3 linked regions of the Rattus norvegicus genome follow. The protein of the gene in region 1 binds, or shares a complex with, the protein of each later gene. Links are inferred from orthologs where the notes say so. Each region holds a gene or a part of one and is shown in the gene's direction. Other genes may lie near its edges.

Evidence for each region. Proteins that work in one complex are often made in the same cells at the same time.
Region 2: Ndufab1 (region 1) and Fdx2 share a complex: the UniProt entries of both Homo sapiens proteins name them as parts of the mitochondrial core iron-sulfur cluster (ISC) complex. The link is inferred for Rattus norvegicus from reciprocal best matches to the Homo sapiens genes NDUFAB1 and FDX2.
Region 3: the proteins of Ndufab1 (region 1) and Lyrm4 are in contact, whole or in part, in a crystal structure (PDB 6ODD), measured with the Homo sapiens proteins. The link is inferred for Rattus norvegicus from reciprocal best matches to the Homo sapiens genes NDUFAB1 and LYRM4. Residues at the interface, in NP_004994.1 of Homo sapiens: Lys92, Asp111, Ser112, Leu113, Asp114, Val116, Glu117, Met120, Glu123, Asp124, Glu129, Ile130, Asp132; in NP_065141.3 of Homo sapiens: Arg6, Leu10, Ser11, Tyr13, Arg14, Leu17, Arg18, Lys21, Arg37, Phe40, Arg41, Lys44.

What each region holds. Positions count from the first base shown.
Region 1 is NC_086019.1:186,086,537-186,090,836, reverse strand, and holds the start of Ndufab1 (acyl carrier protein, mitochondrial), read left to right. Parts: upstream 1-1,500; 5' UTR 1,501-1,527; coding exon 1,528-1,695; intron 1,696-4,300. UniProt on the Homo sapiens protein: Carrier of the growing fatty acid chain in fatty acid biosynthesis.
Region 2 is NC_086026.1:27,883,208-27,887,249, reverse strand, and holds the start of Fdx2 (ferredoxin-2, mitochondrial), read left to right. Parts: upstream 1-1,242; 5' UTR 1,243-1,259; coding exon 1,260-1,377; intron 1,378-1,447; coding exon 1,448-1,502; intron 1,503-1,591; coding exon 1,592-1,698; intron 1,699-2,796; exon of another isoform or gene 2,797-2,959; intron 2,960-4,042. UniProt on the Homo sapiens protein: Electron donor, of the core iron-sulfur cluster (ISC) assembly complex, that acts to reduce the persulfide into sulfide during [2Fe-2S] clusters assembly on the scaffolding protein ISCU.
Region 3 is NC_086035.1:28,950,756-28,954,711, forward strand, and holds the start of Lyrm4 (LYR motif-containing protein 4), read left to right. Parts: upstream 1-1,156; 5' UTR 1,157-1,523; coding exon 1,524-1,609; intron 1,610-3,956.

The sequences.
Region 1 (4,300 bases):
ACTGGGAAAGTGCGTTAGTGTAGGAGTTTGCCCCTCGGGTGTCTGCTGTGTTTACTGTCCAGCTGGTGTGTAGGTTTCACCAGAGTTGCCACTTGTCCATTTTGTTTACAGTCTCAAATTTCAAGGTGTGAAAATGAATTCCTATCTGCAAAGCTGTAAGTAATCTATTTAATCTGTAATATACACATATAGTTCAGTTTTGTTTGCTTTGTTTTTGTTGTACTGCAGACAGAATCTAGAACTTGGGTCATCCTAGGCAAACTGTCTACACTCATACATTATCAAAATTTAAAATATGTATTGTTAGACTTCAACATTGGTTAGTCTTCAGTTGACTCATATAAGCACATGGAGTTTTGTGGTGATGGTGGTTGGGTTATCTATTCATTTTTTTAAAATCTATTTCGAGATAGGACCTTGCTATGTAGTCTAGGCTACCACACCATCGATGATCCTCCTGCCTTAGCCTCTGGAACTGAGAATGTGGATATGGCAGTCACACCTACCTGGCTGCTAGTCTTAAATAGATTCTTTCTCACACTTATAATTTGTACTGAGGTTTCACTAAAGCCAAAAAAAGAAAAAATCTTAATGGTATGGGAGAATTGTGGCATATTTTATTTTTTGAGGGCTTCACTATAATAACCCTGGCTATCTTGGAACTTGCTTGTAGACCAGGGTGTCTTTGAACTCTCTGAGATCCTCTTGTCTGCAGAGTGATGGCATTAAAGATGCTTGCCACCATGCGATGATCACCAGCAAACACTTTTTTTTTTTTTGACAGAAAATGATGCAGTTTTAATATACCATTTTGCAGAAAGGGTCACCAGCACAGAGAAAAGGCAAAAATTGCTTTCGGGTTGATTTTGCCGAAGACCGTCGTTTCTGAACCCCTGACCACAGGAAATTCCTGCTTTTTTCTCCCATAGGCTAGACATAAGATTCACAATCTAGCATAGTCCCCTTCTCAAATTCCCTATCCTTTTTATTTAGGAGGAAAAGCCTTACTTAATGAGTTAATTCGAGGCTTGAGACTACCCCTTTTGTTGGTTGTGGGCTCACCCATATAGCTGATTGCCTATAACTTTTTTCTATTTATTTTTTACTTATTCACTTTACATCCTGCTCACTGCCCTCTCCCGATCATCCCCTCCCACAATCCTTCCCCCTCCTCCTCTCCTTCTCTGAGTGGGTAAGGGCCCCCTGGTTACCCCTCTATCCTCTACGAGGCTAAACGCTTTCTCTCCCACTGACAGCCAACAGTATATTTCAGGACTTTGGGAGAAGAAACAAGTCAGTTTCTTTTTTGAGTCAGTGACAGCGTTTAGGGTTAGATGGCATTTGTGCAGTTGCACCACAGTAGCCCTTGCCCTTCAAACGGAGGTGGGTGCAGCGCGGCTGGGAGCCGCCAGGGACCGCCAGCGCCCGCAAAGCCCTCAAGCGCCGCTCTGTACGTCGCAGGCGTAAGGCGCTACCAGCGGCTTCGGCGGGAGGCCACGGCGCGGTGCATCCTGGGTTGGCGTAGCCATGGCGTCTCGTGTCCTTTGCGCCTGTGTCCGCCGCCTGCCTGCGGCCTTTGCGCCGCTGCCCCGGCTTCCCACGTTGGCTTTGGCCCGGCCGCTCAGCACCATTCTCTGCCCTGAGGGAATCTGGAGAAGAACCGGGACTCTGCAGCCCACCTTGGCGCTCGCGCAGGTGACTCGCGGTGACTTTGCCGGAGCTAGTCAGGGGTCAGGGCTCCGGGCCATCCGGGCTGGGGGAGGGGCTCCAGCCAGCTGCACACAACATGCAGGGGTGGTCGGGGTACACGGCTAGCCCCACTGCTAGACGGGTTTTGGTTGACCACTGTCGCGAAGCTAAGTGTCTTATGATTAGAGCACAGGATTTTGACCAAGTCTTGACTGAACAGCAAAATTGGACACCAGCTCTCATCCTTGCGGAGTGGCAATGAAGTTTAGTTGAGAGATCGGGTAGAGCACGTATTGCCTTTGTCAATTGTGATGATGGCAATTACTGTGGTCACCTCCTAGGGAAGTGCACAAGAGGAAAACCACTTGCCTACAATAGCCCTCTCCAGAATGTTCTCTAGGTTCCTAGAGTTCTATCGTAATTTACCCGTTGTGGCACCTTTTGTCTGTGAGTCTTCTGGAAATAAGGATAGGAAACAAGTCCTTTGTAGTTTGCATATTTAATGAAACCAGTGTTATGCTTAAACTGTGAGGATGTCACTTTCAACCCTAGACGCCCAACAGAAGACCCTAGTGAGCCCTCTTCCTGCTCCCCTTCTTACCCCGCTGGGATCAAGCCCTGGCATGGCATTTTAAGTTCCCAGTGTACATGCAGGATTAGGGACTACTGTAGGATAGTCTCTGGGTCTAGTTGAAGAACCCCTTTTCTGTACTCAGCGAGCTTCCTGCAGTAGTGGTTCAGTCACACCTACATGCTACAAGAAGAAATAAGGTTCTACATCCAGTGCTGAGATTCACTAACAGTGTAATAGGTAGACAGGCCACTGTCTGTATCAAAAGGTTGTCATTATAAAAGTATTATAAGGGCAGTAAAGTTACCATGCCCTGGATCTAGAGATTAATTTCAGATTAAGCTAAAATGTGATCTTACGTTCTTACGACATTGCTTCTCAAACTTAAGTTGTGCACACAGATCATTCAGTAGGTCTGTAAGGTGTTTATTTTCGTGGGCTTTCTAGATGGGGTCCTGGGACCGTGCTTTGAACAGGTGGTGCTCTCTCTGCCTGCTTTATACAGATAGTAGAGGAACTGCTTTATGCTTACAGAATGGTTTTGATTAAGTTCATTCACAGATGTGGAGATGCAGTTGTTTCCAAAATATCTTAGGTTTGTTATTGGTCTGTGAACGTTCTCTGTACATCAGAAAGCAAATGGTAAGCGAGGTTTGTTAAAGGAATAAGAGACCTTTTCTCTGAATCACCCAGCTTAGATGAGTGAAATAAGTTGGCTTGGAAATTTCCAGAAAATGGAGAGGGAGTAGACTAAGGAAGAGTTTTGAAGAGGTGAGGGTTTATTTCAAACAGCTGAGTTTAAGGTGCCCCAGTTCATGAGGTTTGCAGTGGGCAAGTGAGAGATGGCCTTTAAAGCTTTTCCATAAACAAAGGACAAAGGCGAGTAGGATGGACTCTAATGCAGACTCATCAGTAGTGGGCCAGCTTAGAGTCGCTGCACATAGTGCCATCCTTGGTGCTTAGAGGTGATTGATGTCACACGTGAGTCTGGGGAGAACTCTAACTGAGACAGCCCGTATTGACTACAGGGAAGGTACTTTTTAACGGTAGACATCTGGCAGGTGGAAGCGGTTTAGCTCCTCCAAGAGAGGATGCAGGATAATGTAGGGCAGGATACCTACCATCCTGTGTCTTTTTGTAAAAAGTGTAACATACTGGCCCTGGAACTTATCAGTGATGCCTGGTGAATTACTGACACCTAGTGGCCTACATGAGTAACTGCACACAAGTCCACTCCAGTCACTTGTTTTCTCACTGCCTGTTCTCAACACTGTTTCTCCTTTTCTTCCATGTTAAATGCACTTCATACCAGCCCTGTGTTTCCTGTGATTGTTGTCTTTGAGACAGAGTCTCATTTTATCTTAGGCTGGCCTTGGTGAGAATATGTTACTCTGTGCTCACTTTGGGAGCAAGCCCTAGGACTGCAGCCCTGAACCACCCATGTCTTATTAAGTCCGCTTGATCTTTTTTTCCTTCCAGTCTAGAAATTGAACCTAGGGCCTCACTCATGCAGATAAGCCGTCAACTCCTGTCCCTTAATAGTTTCTAATCTCTTCTCAACTCCTTCTTGATATGCACACGAGATATGTTAGATCCTCCTACCTCAGACTTTTCTGTCATTCTCACTGTTAACATTTTTCTCCCACTTTCTCTTATTCCTGTCTGTCCTTCATCTTATCTGTGGCCTTTTTAGGTCATTGTAATGAGCAGGACTGGCAGTTTGTCTCTATCACAGGCCTCTGATATACAGTATAAAGGGAACAGTAGATTTAGGCACCAAAAGCGCCCTGCCATTCTTATTCAGAAATCTAGAATATTTTTCAGCTAATCTCTCTAGTTTTCTGATTAAAGAAGTTTGCTGCCGAGTAAGTATATGTGTACATTGGTTTAGTTTATGTATGTCCTTGCTATATACAGTCAGGCTTGCCTGGACTCTGGGTCTCCCTACCTCAGCCTCCCGAGTGTTAGGGTTACATTTGACACCACAGCATGTCTTGGGTCATTTTTTCATAGACACACTCAGGGTCCTGAGTGCCAACA
Region 2 (4,042 bases), on another chromosome or scaffold:
TGCAGGTATAGCTGTGTCATGCCCCTGCCTGCCTACTCCGGCCAGTACCCTAAGCCCCAGGATCTCCAGCCCCTGCCTTCTGATGCCTTAAAGTTGGGCCACAGGTCCTGCTGGGTCAGAGCCTCTCAGATGCGGAGCTCCAAAAGCTCAGCTCAGGACCAAAGAGCTCTGGCCTAGGGTTCATCCTTTCTCCAGGGTGTCTGCCCTCTGGACAGAAGGCCAAAGCCTTGGTCTTGGCAAACCACCCCTTTTGCCCTAAGCTTGGGTGCAGAGACCAGTATTTTCTGCTGGCTTCAACAGTGTCCCCTGCTGTCTGTGAAAGGTGACCATTGTACCCAGGCCACTGGACCTCTACCATGTTCCTTCAAACCCAGATCATCACCATCCCCAGGCTGGATCACTGGAGCAGGTCTCCTCTCTGCCCATCTGAGGGGACCTAGGGACTCTGCCCCTGGCCAGCTGAGCCACCACCAGCCTCCCTCCTCAAACCTGATGAACCAAACTCACTCCAGTAGGGGGCATTCCCTCCCCTTTCCCCCTTCCTGCCCTCCCCTGCTCCCTGACCTTTGCTGAATTAAAGTTTGTAAGTAAACGGTTTTAAGAAAAAAACATCAGAGCTGGCTGGTTCTTGTTATAAACCATGGGCCCAGCAAAATAGCTCAGTATTCTGGTACAGGACTTGACACTAATCCTGACAACCTGAGTTAGCCCTCTGGCCCAAAAGGCGGAAGGAGAACTGACTTCCACAAGTTGTCCTCTGACCTACAAACATGGCACAGATGTGCTCACACACAATCCCTAAAATCTAAATTGGGCTTGGAGGCCAGCCTGATCTACATTTAGTCTATATAGAGACCCAGTCTGAAACAATTTAAATCTTGGGCATGGTTGCACATAACCCTTAATTCCGGCAGAGGCTTTCAGAGTTAAAGGCCAAATGAAGGAATCCTGTCTAATTATTAAAGGACTCGGAGGTTGGTCCCAATTGCTGCTCTTACAGAGAACAGAGTTTAGTTAGTTCCCAGCCCCCACACTACCCTTTAACTCTTCTGGGCTCCACAAGGCACGTACTTGGTGCTCATACGTACATATAAGCAGAACATATACAATGAGGCCTAAGGGGGAAAAGAATCCAACCAGGGGGCGAGGCCGGAAGTTCAGCTGGATCAAGTACGTGACCTCACACGGCGATCAAACGCTGCGATTAGAGTAGCGGCGACGCGCCGGGGATACTCGGTCTTCCGGTCACGTGGCCTATCATGGCCGCCTCCATGGCCCGTGGCGTGAGCGCCCGGGTCTTGTTACGGGCGGCCGGGGGATCTTGGGGACCCAGGGCCGGGCACGCGGCAGTAACATCTAGGACGTTCGGGTCTACAGGTACATAGAGCTGGGCTGGGCCGTGGCGGGCAGTGCGGCCGCAGCCGCTCACCCACTCGTGTGTTTACAGGCGAGCGGCGTGCTGGCGAGGACGAGGCGGACAGCCCGGAGCTGCCCCGGGATGTGTGAGTGCCCGCCGTGCCACGCCCTGCCCCGCCCTGCCACCTAGCCACAGGCCGGCCTCGGGCTCAGCACCTGCACCGTTTGTCCCCAGGGTCAACGTGGTGTTCGTGGACCGCTCTGGCAAGCGGATCCCGGTGAGGGGCAGAGTCGGGGACAATGTTCTTCATCTGGCCCAGCGTCACGGGGTGGACCTGGAAGGTAGGTCATATGAAACTAGGGAGACCTTGGCATTCTTTTTGTTTTTTTTGAGACAAGGTTTCATATAGCTCAGGCTGACCTCGAACTTAAGTATCTGTGGGTGACTTTGAACTTCTGACCCTTCTGCCTCCACCGCCCGAGAGCTGGTGTGCAGTACCACAATGCGATATTTTTGTTTAAGTGGGGTATGGGTGGGTCAGGGCTCACTCTGAATCAGGCGGTCCAGGAACTTTTAAGTATGTAATCCCGGTTAGCCTTCAACACATTACAGTGAACCTACTGCCTCCACTTCCTGAGTCCTGAGACCACAGGCATGTGCTATCATACTACTGTATAGATGGGGTGGGAAGGACTGAGTCCATGTTATTCAGGCTGTTCTGAAACCAGCTAGGTAACCAGACTAGGCTCAAACGCACTATAGTGATCCCCCTGCCTCCACCTCTTTAGTGCAAAAAAGATTAAGACAGTCTCTGTGACTTACCTCTAAAACCACTGGCTGATCTACTCCTCAGCGTTCTCAGTTCTGGGAATACAGGTTGTCTTTCTTGTTTCACCATCTTTGAGTTAAAGCCGAAGCAATAGTGGAACTGGAAAGGTCACCAGTGCTAAAGACTGCAGATGGCTTGTGAGAAGACCTGTGTTCTCTTCCTACCACCGACTCTATGCCAGGCAGTTCACAGCCTTCTGCCATGTACATTCCCTCACCTGGTCCCCATGGGCACTGCATTCTCATGCACAGTCCACACAGAAACATATATAAACACTGGAAATCTTTCCTTAAAATAATACTAAAATAAAATTGGGTTTTCGAGCAGCCCTTACCAAGCTTTTACTACAGGCTCCTGGAGTCTGTTCTTTTGAGCTTGTGGATTCGTGATGTTGACCCTTCCATTCTCTAGTCCACCACTGAGCACCTTTTGGGGAGAAGTATGGAGGCAGGATCTCTGTCTCCAGGGCTGGGTCACAGATGTGCAGCTGGACCCTCACTGCTCTTGCTCTCTTCAGGCATCAAAGCTCAGTCCCAGCCTAGGACCTCTGTGCTTGTTCTCTGTCAGAAGTGTTTCCCCAACAAATGCTTGGCTCTTTCTCATTCTGCAGACTTGACAGTGTGGCATCCTTTCACCCAGCTTAAGCCCGTGCCCGTCTGTCTGGGTATTTAGTGGCCTCAGAGCTTGGTCTGTGTTTGCTCTCTGACGTCTCTCCCACAGTGAGCCTCATTCATACCAGCTGTAACTCCCAAGCCTCTGTAAGCAGGTCTGAGGTCAGTGTGTGTTGAGTGCCTATCCCTTGGGACAGCTTCAGGAATAGAGGAGGCAGTAATTCCACCTTGCAGAGAAGGGAGCTGTGCACCATGTTGTGGTAAGCAGGGTGCAGAAGCAAGAGTAGTGTGTGTGGCAAAACCTGATTTCAGACATGAATCAGGTCATTAGTCATCTCATGTCGCTCCTGTGTGAGTTCTGCTGAGTGTTTTCCTTATTGGATTTATTTAGTGCGTGTGTGCCTCTGTAGAGATGAATGGACAACTTGAGGGAGTCGGTTCACTCCTTCCATGTTATTTTCCTAGGGATTGAACTCGGGCTACTGGGCTTGGCGGTAACTGCTTTACCCAATGAGTGCACTCCAGGCCAACCAGCGACTTGTAACAAGGCCCTGTTCAGATTCATACCCAGCCTGGATAATTTAGCAAGAGTCCCTATCTCAAAAATTATGACAAATTATGAAAAAAATTGCCCCTCCCCCCAAATGATGAGAGTCCCTGTGTGAATACTATCTACTGTGTGTACCAAAGTGACAGGTCCTCTGTCATATCAGAATGGCCATTTTGAGCCTACCAGGAACCATACGCCCAAGAATAAACACAGTTAGGTTTTCGTTGGCAGACCAGTTGGGAGGGACGGTGCTGAGTTAATGGGATAGGAGGCCTGAGGAATCTAGGTGGCAGAGGTGGCCAGGCATGGTGGTGCACACTTTTCATGCCAGCACTTGGGAGGAGAGGCTGGTAGATGTCTGTGAGTTTGAGGCCAGCCTGGTGTCTGTCTACATAGCAAATTCCAGGACAGCATACAGAGTGATTCTCTTTCTCAAAATAAACCCCAAACCACTAAAAATCACTAGAGAGGTTAGGGGGTGGATGAGTGTTTCTGTTCCCAAGTCTAGCAGACGCTGTGCAGAACAGAATTTGTAACAGTTCAGAAGCAAACCATCCATGTCTCTGGTGCCTCACCAACTCTGTGAACTCTGAGCCGGTTTCTCCGAGCCTTCTGTTTCTTTTGTTTGGTGGATTGCTGAGAGAATGAACGTATTTAATGCTTGGTAGAGAGCAGAGTACATCAACAGCCAGCCA
Region 3 (3,956 bases), on another chromosome or scaffold:
ATGATCCTGAAAACACAAGTTGTTTCGAATAGAACATGCATCGTTTCAAAACTTGATACACTAAAACAAACGACAAGGCATGGTAAGTTGCCTTTAGAAATTACTCTTTGCTGTGTTTAGAGGCGGGGGATATGAAAGGAATGGATCATTGCAAGATCTTAATATAAAACAAGACCCAAAACTAACAAGTGCGTTCCAAACACAATAACCAGAATTATCGGAAACTTCTCTTCGCACAGTCCTAAAATCAAGGAACAAACCAAGAAACTTACTTTAGTAAGTTGGTTCCTAATAGCTAAATGCTGAGGAAAACCCTGTTCTTGTCTTGGGTCTGAAAGGATGCCTAAGAAACCCCCTAAAGTCCTAAGAGTTCCCTAATTAACCATGACATTTAAAGTCGAGACTTTTAGCTTTTTTTTACACACTGCTAAATTGTGTGCTCTTAATCAAAAAAGTAGTGCATGGTGTCCCACACATGTAATCCCAACACTGGGAAAGCTGCGACCAAGAACTCAAAGGCAGTCTGAACTACAAAACGAGACCCTGTCTCAAAAATTTAAAAAAAAAAGTGTAAGAAAAAAAGAAAAAAAAAACAAAAAATAGTGTAGCCCCTTCAATGAATATCCCGGAAATGGAAGTCACAGCCGATTGCAAAATGCATAACAGCAGGCGACCTGACACCTCAACTCTGCAGCAAGGCCAGCACTCACCCAGCCTACGCCGGGGAAACACAAACGCGGGTGTTTCGAAGTCCGCAACGCGGCCACACGTTCAATCGGTAGTCGCTGAGCTTAACCTCAAGCTACCCAGACACTGTGCGCGCTGGGCGCCGCCATCTTGACGGAAAGAGGCCCGGGCCCGAGGTCCCTTGTGCCGCTCGCCCAGAGAAAAGCCGGTGCTCCAGGAAGTCAATAACTAGTCACCTCTGCACCTCTGGCGCTGCGTCCCCCAACCAAGATGACACTTATAACCTCAGGCTTCCAACCAGGCCGAGTCAAATCAAAGTCACCCTCGCTGTCGCGCACAGCAGGTCAGGCAGTGACAAAGACAGCCGAATCGGGCAAGGGCGGAGCTAAGGGGTGCGCTTCGTCACCCAGGCAACCGGGCCTGGGCAGGTGTAGGGGGCGTGGTGTCCGGAGACAAAAGGGTCCAGGCCACGCCCCCAGGCGGTTCGGAAGGATAAGGAGGCTGTGAGCCACGGTGTTCGAGCCCGACTGTCCTCCGGAGGAGCGAGCCTGGGGCTGGACGGCTTGGCCTCCTGCCGGTGGGGCAGCCTGAGAGGAACGCAGAGGGTCCAAGTTACGGGCGCCTCCCCTTAGCTGCCCTCCGTCCTGCCTGCGGCGCCACCTCTCGCGCGGGGCGCGTGCCAGGCCGCAAGCCAGGCCGAGCCGCTGCTCCTGCCTTCCAGCGTGCTTTTTGCATCGTTTGACATTTCTGTTCAGTTAAACTTGGCACCTTTACGAAGAAGGACCTGTTTGGTTTTGTTGTTAGGTTTTGATTTTTTTTTTTTTTTCGTTTCCAACATGGCAGCCTCCAGCCGCGCACAAGTTTTAGATCTGTACCGGGCGATGATGAGAGAGAGCAAGCATTTCAGCGCCTACAATTACAGGTGACCCGGGGGGAAGGCCGGGAATCGGGTGCCCAACTCTGTTTGTGGGGGTCGCGGATCAGGCGGCCACAACCTTTGATAGTGACAGGCTCCACGTCTATGACACTCACGTGCAACTACCCACCCCCAGGTGTGACCCTCAGAGCCGGGGATGGGAGGAGCCAAGTACTTGCCCTTCAAGTCCTGGGACATCTTCCCTGAGCTGACACCCACGTAGGGGCTTTAGGACCATTGGTCTGTGCCTTGTTTCTGAGGTTCGAAGTGATGGACGCGAAGCTGAAGTGAGAAGTTAGGACAAGGAAACACAGCATACATGAAACTTGCCTTGAGATTACAAGAGTGGAAGCAGTCGGTCCAGACCACGTGGCCACAAAACTGAAGGCTTGCCCTACAGCCCCCTTTCATTTCACTGGTGTTTTAATTCCCGACTTTGGTTCCAAGTACCAGATGCTTTCTTATTAAAGGATGGTAGAGAGAGGCTACGTATACAAGGAGTGTTAAAGGTGAAATTTGTTGCTAAGCTTTTAAAAACTGAGTTCTTACTTGATCTTGCCTCGCCGAACTGAGATCTTCCTTCTAGATCCTAGAGTCTAGGACAAATCACAAGGGGACTAGAGCATCAATTCTTCAAAAACATTTAAATCTTGGGTGTAGTTTAAGTTATACATAAACACAAAAATTATGTTAATGAGGTAGTATGTGTGCACCACACTTTCATGCACTAAAGCTCGTACATTTTAACTCAGCCCGTTTGTCCATGCTTGGCCTGTTGTCCCACGTGTGTATGAACCCCTTATACTTGCCATGTGGTTCTGGTACACACCTTTCACCCCAGCACTGGGGAAGGAGACAGAGGCAGGTAGAACTCTGAAATTGAGGCCACCACGGACCACACAGAGAAACCCTGTCTCAAGAAACAGAACAATACACAAACAAGGACAACAACACTCAACCTTGAGTCCTTCACCTTCATAGTCTCTGCTTTGAAACTTCTGGCCCAACATTTCTGTAGAGCCTTTAGGGTTTTTCTGAGATTTGATGTCTTATTGATTAATTACCTAAATCCTTCGAGATTGAACCATACTCCTCAGAACAAGAATGTGATGAAACCAGGTCATTTTCCCCCAGTTAAATGAATGTTTGCAGTTACTTCCCAAGTGTTTCAGTTACTTAACAAGCATTATGCCCATGGGTGACTGACTAGGCTATGGGCTGGGGGTCTCTTCGGTTAACTCCTGAAACAGACCTGGTTCTAGGGTGCACCCTTCTCTAGGGATTGAGCTGCCGGGCCCTGTGGTAGGCAGGCTATGCACAACTTTAGCCTGTAGACAGATCGACCAACCTTTCCAACAGTAATTCATATTTCAGAAACACGCTGAGAAAATATAGTTGTCATATCAACTGAGGACAGCACATGGGTTAGACAAGTGACCTCATACCACTAAGCACGGGGTTAAATGAAACATGGTTTTGTGTGATGGTGTTGGCTTTGGAGGAACAGGGGCATAAGCGCTAAACCGCCTGGAGGAAGTCTCCATAAATATCTGTTGTCACTTGCTTACCAGTGATGGACCACAGGAGACTTGGAAGTAAATGCTCGGAGTGGTCCTTACACTCTAGAAGACGTCTGTCTCAAAAATAAAAAGGCACTGAATAAACGAGGACTAAGCAGAAGCTCACACTGGGGGACACATCTGGAAACAAGTTATATAAAACACAGGTAGCAGCCCTCACAGGATATGGAACCTTGGAGTTACTGAGACTCTAGGATTCAGTTTTCCTGGTGGTAAAACTAATTCACTGGACTAGACAGCCTCTTAAGGGCCCTTTCATTTCTAAATTTCCATCTGGAAGTGACTTAAGAGCCAGCACACCTAAAGTTTTCCTAAACTGTAGGAGTAAACAGAAAAACCTAGGCTGTGCCTAACAGAAACTAGAGAATGAGCTTCAGCACAGCAACTATATGCTGATAGGCTCTTAGTCTGTGCCTCACACCGATGTATTTTCCACAGGAATCTGGTGGTCACTTTTTCCAGATATCCAAAACCTGACAACCCTGCCAGCATTATGTCCCAAGAAAGTAGAACTTGCTTCGTGTAAAATAAGTCTGCCTTTACAACGCCCCCATAGAATTCAAAGATACCCTGTCCCTCTTCTCTCAGCCCACCAAAGTCATTCACTGAGTACCCATTGGTCACTTCTTTATGGCACTGTGTTCTGTTCCATAGGTATGTTAGCACATTGATTTTTGACAACCTAGTGATGTACTATTTTTCATGAACCAATCAAAACTAAGCACTAGAGAATCTAACTCTGCAAACAGGGTAGAAAGGGCAACGCATAGCAG